Linked DNA regions of Drosophila melanogaster. The protein of the gene in region 1 purifies or fractionates together with the protein of each later gene. This does not show direct contact. Each region holds a gene or a part of one and is shown in the gene's direction. Other genes may lie near its edges.

Evidence for each region. The genes of interacting proteins can lie anywhere in the genome.
Region 2: the proteins of hiro (region 1) and tmod purify together in Drosophila melanogaster (affinity purification with mass spectrometry, with the first as the bait; one large-scale study listed by BioGRID). This does not show direct contact.
Region 3: the proteins of hiro (region 1) and pps purify together in Drosophila melanogaster (affinity purification with mass spectrometry, with the first as the bait; one large-scale study listed by BioGRID). This does not show direct contact.

What each region holds. Positions count from the first base shown.
Region 1 is NT_037436.4:685,403-689,486, reverse strand, and holds hiro (highroad), read left to right. Parts: upstream 1-1,528; 5' UTR 1,529-1,618; coding exon 1,619-1,685; intron 1,686-2,114; coding exon 2,115-2,906; intron 2,907-2,959; coding exon 2,960-3,145; intron 3,146-3,200; coding exon 3,201-3,496; 3' UTR 3,497-3,545; downstream 3,546-4,084. Other genes in the region: CG32483 (uncharacterized protein), read left to right, coding at 1-313, 367-552, 607-902.
Region 2 is NT_033777.3:30,531,156-30,535,889, forward strand, and holds the start of tmod (tropomodulin), read left to right. Parts: upstream 1-1,681; 5' UTR 1,682-1,827; exon of another isoform or gene 1,828-1,940; 5' UTR 1,941-2,130; coding exon 2,131-2,352; intron 2,353-4,734.
Region 3 is NT_033777.3:12,412,306-12,419,880, forward strand, and holds the start of pps (protein partner of snf), read left to right. Parts: upstream 1-1,522; 5' UTR 1,523-1,851; coding exon 1,852-1,981; intron 1,982-2,046; coding exon 2,047-2,451; intron 2,452-2,565; coding exon 2,566-4,283; intron 4,284-4,342; coding exon 4,343-4,824; intron 4,825-4,912; coding exon 4,913-5,087; intron 5,088-5,142; coding exon 5,143-5,670; intron 5,671-5,735; coding exon 5,736-7,575. Other genes in the region: Dip-C (dipeptidase C), read right to left, coding at 1-1,078.

The sequences.
Region 1 (4,084 bases):
GGTGAGGTCAAGAGCAACCTTACCTCGGTGGCTTTGGGGGATCCATGGACCTCGCCCATCGACTCCGTGCTCGCATGGGGACCTTTTCTCAGAGAAATGGGAATCGTGGACCACGCGGGATACAATGCCATTCAAGAGGCAGCGAACTTCACGGCTCAGTTGGTGGAGGAGGAGCGATGGATTCAGGCCACCTATCAGTGGGGCAACACCCAGTGGGAGGTGATGAAAGCCTCCAAGGGTGTGGACTTCTACAACGTGCTGAAGGAGACAAAGGGTGGTCTCTACCAGAGATCAAAGGCCTTGACCTCCGAAGGTGAACCAAATACTTCGATACGATATTTTTCAAACCATGATATTTCCCTGCAGAACGTCTGTATCGCACCATGGTGAAATACGATATTGATGAGGATCGAACCAAGTTACTGGAGGATCTGATGCGGGGCCCGGTGGCGGAAACCCTGGGTATACCTTCGAATGTCATCTGGGGATCGCAGAGTGGGACCACTTTTGACATCCACAGAACGGACTTCATGAAGCCAGTCATCCACATTGGTAGGGATATTACTTCTTATATAACGAAAGCGTCTGACATCCATTGAATGACAGTGAACGAATTGCTGGAGAAGACTCCTCTGAAGGTCGGCGTATTCTCCGGTGGCCTGGATTTGATTTGCGCCACACCGGGCACCGTCAACTGGATAGCCAAGCTGGACTGGAGCCGAAAGGACGAGTACCTGGCTGCTCCACGCAATGGCATCACGGTGGATCGCATCTTGGAGGGCTATCAAAAGACGGGCGGTAACTTTACCATGTTCTGGATCAACCGAAGTGGTCACATGGCTCCGGCGGACAACCCTGCGGCTATGAGTCATGTACTTCGAGAGTTTACCTCATTTGGCTAAATTCATTTAAATTGAATTATAATAAACTCAGTATGCAAGCCAGTTGTATACTATATTCGTCTAAAAATAGAGGAGTGTTTTACTGAAAGTATATAATGTAAATCGTAATGGATTTTTTGCTTATAGAAGCTGGGGAAGTTATCCTATTAGTTATTTTGATAAATGTCAAATGTATGTCTTAATCTGCTCTTTAAAAAGCAATGCCCAGAATTGATGCATATATGATTATATGAACACCTAAAAATAATATAGTCAATCAATCAAAGAATGCTGATGATTTAAAAAGAGTTTTTGGGAGACACCTTAGATATCTTTCACGCATGTCACGTGGGATAAACCGCAAGTGATACCGAAAAATAATAGGAAAAGCCCTCGGAAAACCCACTCAAGATAGCAAAGTGCAATCTTTGCGATGATTTTGGAGCTTCATAGGCTCTATCTAAATATATGACACAAAGATTCGGCAAATCGGACGAGTGACAAGCACAGATTGACCAAAAAGCCGCGTCACCGTCCAGCGAAGGGCCATAAATACTCTGCAAACACAGTTCCCCTGCCCGCAGATTACGAATTCCAGGTGTGTCAGGTGCTGGCTGTTGCTATTTTACCTTCGATGTCTGGGAGCAACCAGCGATCAATTGGCAGTGGAACTGCCAAGTGTGCGGTTGTCTCTCGATCGGTGTCTCTTGGAATTGGAACTGAAACACTGGTGCAACATGGCTGGACGCGCTATCATCGCACTTTTGGCCCTACTGGGATTTGCCGGCTTGGCTTCCGTTGACGGTGAGAATCGTGATTTGTATTCCAATTAGGGGTGCTAATCAGTGAGAAAGTGTTCCAAAACAAACGGTTCTTTACGACTTGTAGAACAGGCCAACAGAATTATCTGTTACAGACTTTTTTACCTACTTTTATATCCGTAGATTGAAATACTTATGAATCGTTTGGGGACAGACCTTATTACCATTGTAAAAGATACAGTGACCAACCGCTATTCGGTTTGTTATAAGACAATACAATCAACTATCTACACTATCTATAACAATTAATCTTATCTAAATGGCTACTCGTGCAGCCGTTTAATATACTTAAAGGCTAGATTTCTCAAGTGTTCCCTAGAAATCAGGGGCTATCATGAAATTACAAAATCAAAGAGCTTTGTATATTAATAACTATTTAATCGAAATGAGCTATAATTCAATATACTCTCAGCACGCAAGGGCTATGGACCCGGTGATCAGGATTGGGGATTTGTGGATGTCAGGACTGGCGCCCACATGTTCTACTGGCTGTACTACACCACCGCCAATGTCTCCAGTTACACGGAGCGTCCGCTGGCCATTTGGCTCCAAGGAGGTCCAGGTGCCTCCTCAACGGGATACGGAAACTTTGAGGAGTTGGGTCCCCTGAAGCTCGACGGCAGCTACCGCGACTGGACTTGGGTGAAGGACATGAACGTGATGTTCATCGACAATCCCGTGGGCAGTGGTTTCAGCTACGTGGACGGATCTTCTTACTACACGACCAACAACAAGCAGATCGCCCTGGATCTCGTTGAGCTGATGAAGGGCTTCTACACAAACCACCCGGAATTCAAGACTGTGCCGCTGCACATCTTCTGCGAGAGTTATGGCGGAAAGATGGCCCCGGAGTTCGCTTTGGAGTTGGATTACGCCATCAAGCGCGGTGAGATCGAGAGCAACTTTGTTTCGGTGGCCTTGGGAGATCCCTGGACCTCACCCATAGACTCTGTGCTCTCGTGGGCTCCCTTCCTGCTGCAGTTGGGAATCGTGGATCAGGATGGCCATGACAAGATTGAAGCTTCGGCCCTGAAGACTAAGGACTATGTTGACCGCGAGAAGTGGACACAGGCCACTTTGCAGTGGAGCTCCACCCAGTCAGTGGTGCTGCGCGAGTCCAAGGGAGTGGACTTCTATAACGTGGAGACCCCAACATTGGGTGATCAGTACAGGTTGATGTCCAGAGCTGCCATGACTCCGGAGGGTAAGATCCGTTGCGTAACTTACCGAGCTGATTCTCATCAACCACTTATCCAGAGGTCATGTATCGCACCCTCGTGAAATTCGATGTGGATGAGGACCGCGACAAATTGCTGGAGGATCTAATGCTTGGACCCGTGACCGAGGCCCTCGGAATCAACACCGGAGTGAAATGGGGCGCCCAGAGCGGCACCACCTTCACCAAGCTGATGGGCGATTTCATGAAGCCAGCTGTGGATGTTGGTATGTTTCAACCGTCTGGGTGCTACCTCAAATTATAGCCTTATGACACTTTTAGTGGGTGAACTGCTGAACAACACCACCGTAAAAGTGGGCGTGTTCTCCGGAGGACTGGACCTGATTTGCGCCACTCCGGGAGCCGTCAACTGGATCGAAGCAATGGAATGGTCCGCCAAGCCATCTTACCAGGTCTCTCCGCGCGTGGGAATCACCGTAGATCGAGTTCTCGAGGGTTACGAGAAGACCTATGGCAACTTCAGCATGTTTTGGGTCAACCGGGCTGGTCACATGGTTCCTGCCGATAATCCCGCGGCCATGTCGCACATCCTGCGACACTTCACCAAATTCGGTTAAACAAATTAGCCGGAGAAAAGCGTTAAAATAAAGATTATTTTCGAAATGTATGGACTCGTGGGTTTCCAATTGGTGGTGGTTCGATTAATTTAAATTAAATATTGATTACAATTCGCAAAGACTTTATAGTTATATTTTACAGTGCAGTTAGTTGCAGATCTTGTGAAATCAATTCATTCTTAAACTGAAAACAAAATACATACATACATATGTATGTTCTCATTAATCTTACTCTACTTAAAAAGCGATCGCCTGCAGAGTTGCCACATGGCGAAAGTAACAGTAAAGTTGTCGCATGCGCAGTTGCACCCTCTCAGCTGGTCACACGCACACACACTCTCGCACACGCCGACTTCCCTTCCGTTCTAGTTGCCCACGTTGCGCATGCGAGAGCGAGAGAGGGAGCGAGCAGAGAATGAAAACTGCGCGAGATAACGCGGCAGCTATTTTTGTATGGGTCGTCGTCTAGTTCGCACGGACATCGGAAAATACGCAAGGTGCAGCGCACGGCCAGTTGGAAAATCACAATCAGAAGACAAATCGAGTGCCTAGGAAGAGAAAACGAAAGCGAATAGAGCCAAAGCGCAT
Region 2 (4,734 bases), on another chromosome or scaffold:
ATCAGAAATCGGACAGAAGGCAGAAGGTGAAATCACTTGAGATGGGCATCTTCCGACAGATGCCCCTGCCACAAGGCACCCTGTACAGGCCCCGCTGGCTGTGATGCACTGCCTCCACTCGCACATCGAACGCTGGCCACGGCAAAGGAAAAAGGGAAAAAAACGAACGGAAAATAAAGGAAAAAAAAAGAAAAGCGCATGAAAAAGGAAAAGACGGCGTCAAATGCCGCCCGGCCAAATGGCCAGCCGGATCAGCCCAATGTATTCCACCCGATTCAGAGTTGTTTGCCCACAGAGGGTATCGATGAGATGTCTGGGCTTATTGGAAAAAAAATGTTGGAAAAAGGGAAATGCAACACGGGCTTATGGGGATAGTAAGTCCCTCTGATAGAGTGGACAAATTGGTTTGTAAATTAATTTTAAAATCTATCTAAATTCAAGTTTATAAGATATTTTTACTTCTTGAATAAACATTCTATAATTCTTATTGTAAAACTCTATTCTTACTATCAAAATCTCTTTTTTAGGTATTCCAAAGTCGGAAGATATCACTATCTTCATCCTTGGCTGCCTCTTTTTTCTGTCTATTGTTAAATCCACCCAAAATAGCTCCACGCACATTGACGAGAAGAGTGCGTGGGTCTTTGACGGGGAGTATGGAGAGTAGGGGGTATGCGGAGTAAGGGGAGTACAGACCATATGAGATGGCGAATGAGGAGTGTTGGCACTTCACGGCGGAGTTTCACATTCTGACGGGCCTCAGACGTCCGGCAGCCGCACTAATTGCATTCGCCTGGTCAAACGAAGAAATTGCAACAGGCGGACAATTAGCGAGCGAACTCATTCGCATTCAAATTTCACATTTGCTCAAAGAAAGAACAGAAATACTGCACTCAGAAAAATGGTTAACTCACTTCTTACTTCATTGCAGATATTTTGATATTTTATAGAACTCTGGAGTTCAATTTCGGAAGGATTAGGATACATGTGGGATCACAGCCTTGTACTTTTACTTTTTAACATACGAAATATTGTCAGATAGTTTCCTCTTTTTACCAAATAAAGCTTTCTAAATGTAAATCCAATTTGGTAGGATTTTCTCTCAGTGTAGAGGCACACAGTGTAGAAAAGATCGGAACGAAGGCAACAAAAAACTTTTGAAACGCGACGAAGATCAACGTTCAAAATTGAGCAGACGTCAGCAGCGGCAGCAGATCGGCAGAGAACTGAGAGTGAGAGTGGAGGAGAGAGTGTGGAGAATTGCTGGCGCTCTCCCGAGCGCTGGGGGTCTCGGGCCGTCCCGCTCGCACCTGCGGCTAACACATTGGGGGCCTCTGCCCCACTAGACCCTCCGGAACTCAGACCGTCTCGCTCTGCTCTCCGGCGTCGGTTCCGGTGGCAGACGGCAGAAGATTCTAACTAGAAGAATTAGAAGAAGCTAGGACGGAGGCAGCAAGTAGAAGACCCGTGATCGTGTAATTCGCCTCGTGTGCGTTCCGTTGTTCCGTAATTATTCCGGATTTGTTTTCGAAACAGGCTGAAGTGATGTGATGGGATTTCGATAGCTCCATCTTTCAACTTGTTTCGCTTTATCCGCCTTTTGTCACCACGGCTCTACGTTATTCCGTTGTCCCATTGTTCCGTTCTTCCGTAGTCCCATTGTTCCGTAATTCTCCGTTCTCCGTTGTTGTCGCGCCTTTCGTGGCCGCTGGTCGACGTTACGTTTTTACAGTTCGATAATCGAGCACTTCCCGAGAGGATCGAAGGCTCCAGGCATCTGCGTAAACCACGAAGGATCTACAGTACCTCTAAATATACCGCCCTTAGGTCGAAAACAAGTTACTAAAAAACCAGCGCGCCGTGAAATTCCTCTTGTTTATATAATAACCAGCGGCTGCCAAAAGCCCAGCGGAATATACAAAAAATATTCATTTTTCTAGCTCTGGTCGTTTGTATTTTTCAGGCTAAAAGAAAGAAAATAAGAAAGAAGAAAACCCAAGCAATTCTGCGTGTTATGTGTTATCGTTGTGATCAGTGATCCAGTGATCAAGTGAAAGTGAACACAAGAACGTGAGAGAAAGCCAAGTGAATCAGCTCGACTCCAATCGAAAAGGATATAAATCAGAGACAATGTCGGACATTGAGGATGTTTTCGGTGGCTCCGCCGAGGAGACCAAGCCCGAACCCGATGCCCAGAGCAAAACCAGCGTGGTCACCGAGCACACCGAGGAGGTGATTCCCGGCGAGACCGAGAAAATGGTAACGGAGACCATCGATGAGGATGGCGATGTCGTGGAGGAAACCACCGAAGTTACCCGCAAAACGGTGAAGCGCACCATGAAGATCACTGAGGTGAGTGAACTCTGACCCATGGATCCATCTAATAGCCGCCATTATCCATTAACTAACTTATTGTGCGTGTGCTGAGTACAAACATAATTCGAATAGCCATGAAAATCAATATGTATTCTGAATTTGAAAACCGTTCAAGAAGCTATAAAAATTCGGGAACTTGGGAAATTCTTAATGGAAACTATTTCCAAAAGCTTTAATGTTAAGTGCATATTCGCAATCAACTTAAAGAACAGTTCGTTAAAATTTATTAAGCATGGAAATTTTTATAAAAATATTTTCGATTCAAGTATTGTTTACCAAGCTTTTGGTGGGGGGATATATGCCGCAAAACAACATCTTGTTTTTGCATTGAATTTATATAAAAACATCGCATATTTTTGCGAAAGTAAATGACATTCCATTTTACATATTTCCGAAAATATTCTTACGGAACTACAAGTTTAAACCAAAGAATCCGCCCAAAACTGAATGATTTCCTCAATAGTTGGCCACCCCCGATCGTTTGGCTTATGAAAGACTATAAATCATTATTCTCATATTCTGAAGGGATCTTCTGCCGTACTGGTCTCCTCGCTTGTGAAATTGGCCAAAACATGGCGAACTCTGGCTATACATTATTTATACCAAGTGCCATTTCTCTATGTGCGTCTTAGCGAATTGTTTATACGGTCCCACGAATATTATAAATCTTCCCATACATTATACATCACACACACCGCGGCACAGATATAGACGGACATATAGGCGATTATATACACATATACATATGTATGTATATGTTCGGCCACACTTTCTATAGGCGACGTTGCCGGGGGAAAGCCAACAAAAAATACAAATTTTGCAGCTGTTTGATTTCGGCGCAAATTATCACAAAAGATTTCAAATGGCATGGCGTATAAAAAAAGCTGGGAATTAAATTATTATTAAGCAGAAATCACTTAAATACTCGATGCCGAGCTATGCCAAAAAATCCCCACACTCGAAGAGAAATGGCAAAAAAATTAAATGCAATAAATTCTGTGCCGCCAACAAATGCAGAGGCAAAAAAACAAGTATCAGACCAAAAAAAAAAAAAAACAAAAAAAACATCGAGAAGAAGGCGAAACAAAAAATAAATATTGAGGTTTCCGTGTCTTGCGGTCTGGCGCGCACTGGGCGAAAGTTGGGTGGTGCCGCATGGGGCGGGTGGTGCAAGTGGTGGGGCAGCAATTAATTGCCACAAATCGTTGCACAAAATTACAAATTGCATTTCCGGCTTGGCGCGGCGGCCACGCACTTCCACCCGTATTCCCCACTACCGCTACCCCACCCCAAACCCCGCAGAAAGTCTTCGATTTTCCCGCCGCTGTTTTACGACTGTCTGGCCCCCCTCGCCCCTCGCCGGGCGAAAAGCAAAACACCGCCCGTTTTTCTTTCGTCGAGTTTTATGGCAGCCAAATTAAATTTGCATTGCAATTTACTTCTTTTTGGGTCGGCCTCTCGGCCTTTTCTCGTTTTTCCGTTTTGCCGTTTTTATGGGCCCGAAATGGAAATGAAAACGCATGAGCTCAGCCAGCCGGAGTCCTGCGAATGGGGCAGGGATAAGGATGTGCTGCTGCCAGGGCATATGTTGCCATATACACAAAACAGGATCGTATGTGCCTCGCTCCGAGCAGCTTGCCGAACTAATTGCGCTGCCAAAGTCCGGTTTCCTTGCCGAAGCTCATGAACTGCTGAACTGCTGAACTGCCCAAGCCAGCTTTCCCCGCTCACTTTCTCCCGGCGGCATTTCCTGGGCGAAAGCGGCTAATGAGTCACGTACCGTTTTTGTCATTTTTATGCGCTTAACAGGTCAAAGTTCCAGCCGCAGGGATACGTGACCAAAGTCGAGTTTGAGTTGAAAATGCAAAATTAGTTAAATAAAGTCGGAGATACGCCGGGCACTTTCTCCACTCCCCATCCCCACTGCCTTTCGTTATCCTTAATTCGAGGCGAAGCGGAAAACTGTCATAAATTTCACAGTTGATTTCACCGTTGTTTCCTGATTTGATTAGCTCATTAAACGACGGTAATTTGTGCGGTGCGGGGTATGGTTCAAGCCTCTGTGTATTTGCTTATAAACTAAACAATAAATATTAAAGAGAATGACTAAATTGAATAAAATATTCATAGAATATTCATGATTGATTAGTTTCAACAAAATCGAACTCTCAATCTATTGTCACTGAAAATTCAACATCAAATACGCCCAATTTGCGATTATTAAATTATCTGATTATGCGCCATTTAATGCAAACATTATGGAAATGCACCACTATTTAATAAACACCCAAACGAGCGACTTTGCGGTCGGAAAGTTCGGCCATATTATTCCTGCCGACTGGAATGTAGTTAAGCAAA
Region 3 (7,575 bases), on another chromosome or scaffold:
CCTCGAGCATCTCCTCCACATCGCCCTTGAGCATGCCGCCCTCCTTCAGGCGCTGCAGCAACACCCTGCCCGCCAGCTTGTGCATGTCCACCCAGGAGACTCCGTCACGGGCTGACTCTGTGACCGCATTGCGGGCATCCAGCACGGCATTGTAGATGAACTTCTGGTCGTCGGTGAACTTTCCATTGGCCGGGAATGTGCAGGTTATGTCGGCCGCATAGCCACAATAGTTGGCTCCCATATCGAACAGGCAGAGATCACCATCCTGGACGGGCTTGCTGTTGGGTGCGCCCGCGTGTCCATAGTGCAAGATCGACGAGTTCGTTCCGCTGCCGCATATGCAGGTGTAGGAGGCATGCCGGCAGCCGCCCACGGAGTAGGCGTGGTGCAGGAACAGGGATTCGCCCTCAAATTCCATTCTACCGGGACGCATAAACCGCATCACCTTGATGTGCGCGTCCGAGGATACCTTGGCCACGTAGCGCAGCACCTCGATCTCTTCGGGTGACTTGATCACTCGGCACTCAGAGAGAATTGGATACAGCAGATTGCAGTCAGTCACATACTTCTCCTTGCCAGCAAAGTCGGGCGGCTGAAGGGTGAGCCCGCTATCGCTGTTGGTGCCACTCAATGTGAGTATCAGCTTGGGCGACGCCCCCTCCAGATAAACACTCATTTCGTCAACATAAAACACCTCGTCCACCTCGTACATGGCCTTGAACTCCTGCAGCCCAAGCAGTTCGCCCATCCAGGTGCCGTACTCATCGGGAAAGCGAGGAACAAAGAGAACACTTTTCTGTGCACCAGTTTTCACATCAATGGTTAGGATGCCGTAGCAGCCCGGCTCCTTGACACCGAACAAGTACTGGAAATAGGACTCCTGCCGGAAAACGTAGTCCACGTCGGTGTTGTACAGGCTCTGGTCCTTGCCGCCCTCGAGGAGCACCAGCAGGTTGCCGTCGTTGAACTTGAGGCCCGGCAGCAGCTCCTTAAGGATGGCCTTGCCAGCACGATCCCTGTTGTTCCGGAAGAGGGTCATGGGCACTGCGTAACCCGATCCCATCTGAAAGGCGGCCATGGTGTTGCGACGGAGGACAAAGTTTAACTGGCGCTCTGGACAACAATGAGTGCTCGAGCAAGTGAGATTAGCTGATAATAGCCAATAACCGGGCTAACAAAGGCAGTAAATTATGTGGGTTTTATCAGTGTTTTTTGTTTTCTGTTTTCGCAAAAGTATGACCGAGAACTGAACGCGAAAAAAAACAAGCTTAAATTACAATTCATCGATCGGGAATTTTATTTTTTTAAATATATTCTTTAATATTTTTAATTAGCTCAATTCATTTATTTATCATACGGTTTTCCTTTTTGGCAGCCGACCTTGAAAATAAAGGATTTCCCTAAATAAACACAGATTAACATTTTGTTCAAATGAGCTAGCAATTGAAACTAGTTCCGCAGAGCGAGGCACAGAAACTATCGATAACCTACAGCATCGGCATCATTCCCAAGTCTGGTCACACTGGAAGTGGCTTTTTTTGCAAATTTTATTTTCATAATTGAGAAAAATTTGCATTTTAAAGCGAAACAGCAACGGATTAAGCTCTCGAATCTCAACAATATAACAGCCAGCTTGTGGGCGCAGCCAGCAGAGCATCACCAGTATTAAGTATAGGGCGAACGCAGCCCAGTGACCGTTTTCCACCTACTATCCAATTTCAATGTCGGCGTCACAACGCGGCGGATGCAACAACAAATGAGTCGTTGTTCTGTTCCAAGCTAATTAAGTACACGCTGTGTGGGCCGCCGACTCCAATGCGCCGCTAGCGGGGATCACGAGCAGTTGGCGTCATGTCCAGTTCGGTGTTTACGGAGGCGCCCAGCGCCCGGCCGGCGGCAGCCGAAGCCGACTCCAATCTGGTTGTGGTCTACAGCAAGAGCGGAATCTCCTTCGACGAGCGTGCGATTGGGAACATCATGGGTAAGTGGGTCCAATAGGCCTGACACACGCTCATTGCTCCCCACACTGACATGGGCTTGTTGCAGAGGAAAAATCGATTTCCACCATTAGCGTGGTGCGGATTACATCGCCCACGCCGAGCATGGTGGACCAAGAGGAAGACGAACGGCTGGAGGAGCTGGCGAACTTTATGGAAACTGCCACCGACTCGGAGCTGGACAGTGACAATGGCAGCCAAAGTGGTGGCGATAATGCCAGTGAGATGGATGAACACGACGAGGAGAACCATAACACCGGTGACGACAACAATAGCGACTCCACGGAGACGGAAGCCGATGCCCCGCGCACACGCAAGCGAGTTGGCCGAAAGCCCAAGGCCATCAAAAAGCGAAAGCGACGCAAACCCAAGGAGCGTCCACAAATTGTGGGTTTGCGAGTGGAGCAGTTTTATGCGGACAACACGGCTGATATGGTTGTGAAAAATGCACTGAGTAAATAACGTACATCGATGTGGTCCAAATGATAAAGCAAAACAACATCATTATTTCGAGCACAACGAAAGTAAACGAACTTTAGCTTTCAACTAATTTGTATTCTATTTACAGAGCTTGCCGGAGTTTCCGTCTACAAAAGGACTGCGGAGACAGACGCTCTTATGGAAGTTATTCGAAATGACCACAACTACACACCGTTTACCTCGCCAGAGCAGCTGAAGAACCACAAGCGCGATGAGAAGATGGCCATGGAAATGCAGGCCCAAAGCCGCAAAATCATAATGCAGGCACCGGGCAGTGTCAAGCTAATCAATGCCAAAAAACGAGTCCAGGCCATACCCTTAAGCCCGGTGCAGGTCAAGGTCCAGAGACTGCCAGTCAAGCCCCACCAAGTTCAGCAGGCAGCGCAGCTGCAACCGAAAGTGCAGCTGATCCGCAAGCCCATCCATTCGCCACTGCCAAGACAGAAGCCAGAGATTATCGCGAACAATTCGGTCAATGCCAGGCTGAGGCCCACTCGTGCTCCAGTCAAAGTGATTGCTCCGCCTGTGCAGGAATACATCGAAGATGATGATGACGCCCAAAGCTCGGATTCCGCCGAAGAGGAAAATGCCGACAAGGCCTATGATTCGGAGGAAATGAGTGAGGAGAGCGATGAGTTCCAGGAATCGGACAACGACAGGGACAGTGACATGGACTTCGATATGAGGCATAGCAATAGACGTAATCCGAATAAGAGGAAGCGGGTTAGAAAGGTGGTTAGGCAGACTCCCAGCAAACCAATGAAGCCGCTGCCTCCGCCACCCACAACGCCGCAGCACTTCCCCGAGCTGAAGAAACGCAAGGAAGTTTTGGAGCCGAAGGCGCCGCAAATTGGGCAAATAATCCAGATGCCTGCCACAAAATCAGTGCCCGCAGTGTTTGCCCTAGGCAGAGGTCTTCCAAGCACATCGTTTCTCAAAATCCGGCCCACACATCAATCGCTGCCTGTGAAGAGACCTCCACTGCCAACGACACCGGCCAATTCCAATGTTCGTCGTATGCCTGCCGTGCAATTGGGAAGGATCGTAAACTCGCCGCAGGAAGTTAAAGAGATTATTATCAACAAGAATATGGCCAGTCCCAAAGGAGTGTTTACCAATCTCAACACTTTGCTGGGTGAGGACAACAATGCAGCCACAAAATCTTCGCCAGTTCCACTCCGACACCGGGCCGTCATGTCGCCAAGCACGCCGAGATCGAGCTACAATCAGCAGATGTCGCCAATTGTGGTTCCGGTTCCTGCTCAGGCACATACCCCATCCAAGGGCTTCATGCCCATCGGCGTGGACACAGCTCAGTCGCATAAACTGCCCGCCCAAATAGTAATCGAGACGCACCAGAGTTCCTCCGAGCTGGCAGCAGAAAATGACAAGCAGCTCGATCTGATCAACTCGATTGTGCAGGACGAGCTACTTAAGTCCACGCTTGTGGAGCAGCCGGTAGTAAATGCGGACGAGGATATACCGAAACTGGTTAAGATGCTGGAGAGTACAGCGGCGGATCTAGATCCGCCACCAGTGTCCTTGCCTACGAATATTTTTCCAGCTCCCGAGATGCAGGGAGTGGGAAATGCAGCTGCAGCCGATCCGAATAATATAATGGATACGGCGAATGAGGATGAGATTACAGCTGATTTTCTCCAGCACGTGGTCGGTCTCATCGAGGAGGACAAACAGTTTGAGGCCGAGGTGGTTAAGCAAGTATTGGCTAGTACAGAGCCCGGAACCCTGGACGCCATCGTATCTATGCCTACGTCCATTGAGCCCGTAGACGTGCCGCAAGTACAGGCAAGTGTAGAATATCCTGGTTATTGATTTTGCTAGCTAACTGCATTGCTCCTTTACAGGCACACACGAACCTACTGCCGAATGCAAGTCTTACGGAGCCCGCACAATCGATGACCTCATTGCCGATTGCCTGCAGTACACCCTCGAGGAGCGTGGCAGCAAGCACTCCGCCCACCTCCGCGAAGGTTGTGCGCGGCTACGGTCGGGTCATATACCTGCCTCCCATTGAAGCCCCCACCACGCGGGCCAAGCGACGAGCACAGTTTCCTTCAGCTCCGGGCATGGCTGCGACCAGTTCCAGTGATGCAGGCAACCTGTCGTTTGGTGAATCTTCGTTGGATGCGAGCATCAATCAGCCGCTCAATACCAGCAGCCTGAGCAATGACAGCCAGCCGGGAAGTGGGCCGAAACGACCCAATCCTAGAGAGCCATCGATGGCCAGACGTTCAACGGCACCCAGAAGATCAAAGAAGCTTGATGCAAGTCAGAACAATGATCCCGACGCTTCAGAGTCTCAGGAGGATGACGATGACCCCAACAAGTAAGATTATAGTTGGATATTTCATAGATGCAAATCTGTGCGTTTGTTGAAAACCTTTTTTGTTTTTTTTTTTTTTTTTTTGGTTTAGGCTCTGGTGCATTTGTCGTCAGCCACACAACAATCGTTTCATGATCTGCTGCGATTTGTGCGAGGATTGGTTCCACGGCACATGCGTGGGGGTGACCAAGGCGATGGGCACAGATATGGAAAACAAGGGCATCGACTGGAAGTGCCCCAAATGCGTTAAAAGGCAGGAGGAGAGGGTAAAGTCATACAATAGACATAAAGTTACCTTTTATTGATTCGTTATCTTTGTAGAGCCAACCACGAATAACAGACATGTTGGTCACCAGACCAACCACTCAACCTGAGCAGAGGCCGAGTGAAACCAAAGTACTAACTACGACAGCAGAAATTGTTCAGGTCGCGGCTCCTTCGGCTCCCAGAAGAACACTACCGGTGGTCTTAACTGTAGCCAGTTCCCCCATGCGTATTCCAATGGCAAAGCCGGCCAAAAAGTTCCCAACCGGTGCAATCTCTCACCAGCAGCAGCAGCAGCTGAACTTTATCAGACTGGGCCCATCACCTGGCAAACGAATTTCGGAGACGTTATGTGTGGTCTGCAAGCGACCGGCGAGCACCTCTTCCGTCTATTGTGGCGAAGAGTGCATCCGGAAGTATGCCCAAAGTGCAATTCAAGCACATGCTGCTACCAAAGGCCCATTGCCACAGAATGCCGGTGCTCAGTCTTTGCTGAACAACTCCTTCGATGCCAAAAAGAACAAGAAGAAGGACTTGTTTGAGGACGTGCTGAGGCAAGCGGACACTGTGTCAAAAGTGGAACGGGTATGCAATAAAGGTTAATTTAATTAGAACTATACAACAAATAATGTGCACACTTTGCTTTGCAGATTAATGTGTTTGAGCGTAAAAGTGGTCGGGTTATCACCGGGCACATGGCCCCTTCTGCACATCAGTTTCGGAAATGGCTTCAGGAGAATCCCTCCTTCGAGGTGCTGCCCTCAGGAACCGTTCAGTCAGCCGACGCAGAGAAGCGTTTGCTGAAAGGGGCACCGGAAGCCGCCACCTCAACTTCAGAACCCGCCGTGCTAGGAGTTGCAAAAAAGCCACCTGAAGGTCCTGCCAAATTGTCCCATCCCCAAAACACCACAGTTCAGGCAAGCCACCAACTTGGAATCTCTTCCGTGCGTCCTTTGGCCAAAAAGGATAAAGAGAAGACAACACCTACAGTACAGGCGCCAACCCCTAATCGTATCGCAGCGGGCAAACCCGAGCCGGTTCGAATCGGCATCCGGCGATCACTCAGGGAGCAACTACTAGCGCGAATCAAAGAAGCTCAGGCTGCCGAGGAGAACTCTGGCCAGCCAACGACTCAGTGGCCGACCGTACTTGAGGTGGATCAGTTTGTCAAGAACGTGGAGCTGGAAATGTTCAACTCGTTTGGCCGAGACGTGGGAGCCAAGTACAAGGCCAAGTATCGATCGCTTATGTTCAACATAAAGGATCGCAAGAACCGAACGCTTTTCGAAAAGATTTGTGCCAAGCAAGTGGAGCCCAGGCAGTTGGTGCGGATGACGCCGGAACAGCTGGCCAGCCAAGAGTTGGCCAAGTGGCGGGAGGAGGAAAACCGTCACCAGTTGGATATGATCAAGAAATCGGAGCTGGACTTGTTGGCATGTGCCCAAAACTATGTGGTGAAAACACACAAGGGAGAGGAGGTAATCGCCACCAAAGTGGATGTTACGCTGCCCGAAGAGAACGTTAGTGAAGCATCATCTATGGCGGACACAAAACAGACGTCGCTGGTCAGTGAGCCGTCTACCTCCACACTGGAACGTTCCACGTCCAGGGAAAAGGCGGGTTCATCGAAGGAAAAGCGACACAAGAGCCACAAGCATCATCATCGAAAGCGCAGTCGAAGTCGTTCCAATAGTCGGGGTCGAAGCGTCGATAAGCGCCATCGCAGGCAGCACAACGAAGGAGGAGAGCAGCCAGGCAGCGGGGAGCGTGAGCATAGATCGCGTGAGAAACAGAGCCGGGAAAGGGATGAGATCGTTCCATCACCCTTGCCCAAGAAGAGGGACGAAAACGACCAATCGCCGGTACCCAAAAAGACGGCGGAAAAGAAAACCGAGGCGAGTGCTTACAACTTGGTTGATCAAATTCTGGAATCGGAGAAAACAGTCGAGCAGGCGGCGAATCTAGGCAAACCAAAGCCGTCACCCAAGCCACTTCCAACGCTTCCGAGTTCTTTGAAGGCACCTGAGCCAATGGACAACTACTCCCGCTACTTGCACGGCCTGACGACGAGTTCACTGTGGTCCGGTACTCTCAAGATGATCGATTTGGCCGACTTCGAAATCGTCATGTACCCCGTGCAGGGTAACTGCCATCAATTGGGTAACCTGATGCCAAGTCAGATGGACGTAATCGGTCGCATAACCCGCGTTAATGTCTGGGAATATATCAAGAAGCTAAAGAAGAGTCCCACAAAGGAAGTGGTCATTGTGAACATATTCCCCGCCTCGCCCAGCGAAACGTATAAGTTTGATCTCTTCTTCGAATACCTGGACTCGCGTCAGCGTCTGGGCGTCCTGGGCGTGGACTCGGATCAGATACGCGACTTTTACATATTCCCCTTGGGTAGCGGCGATAAGTTGCCACCAGCGCTGCAGACCGCGGAGCCAGTTCCCTTCTACGAAGAAGCGCAAAGACCCAACACGCTGCTCG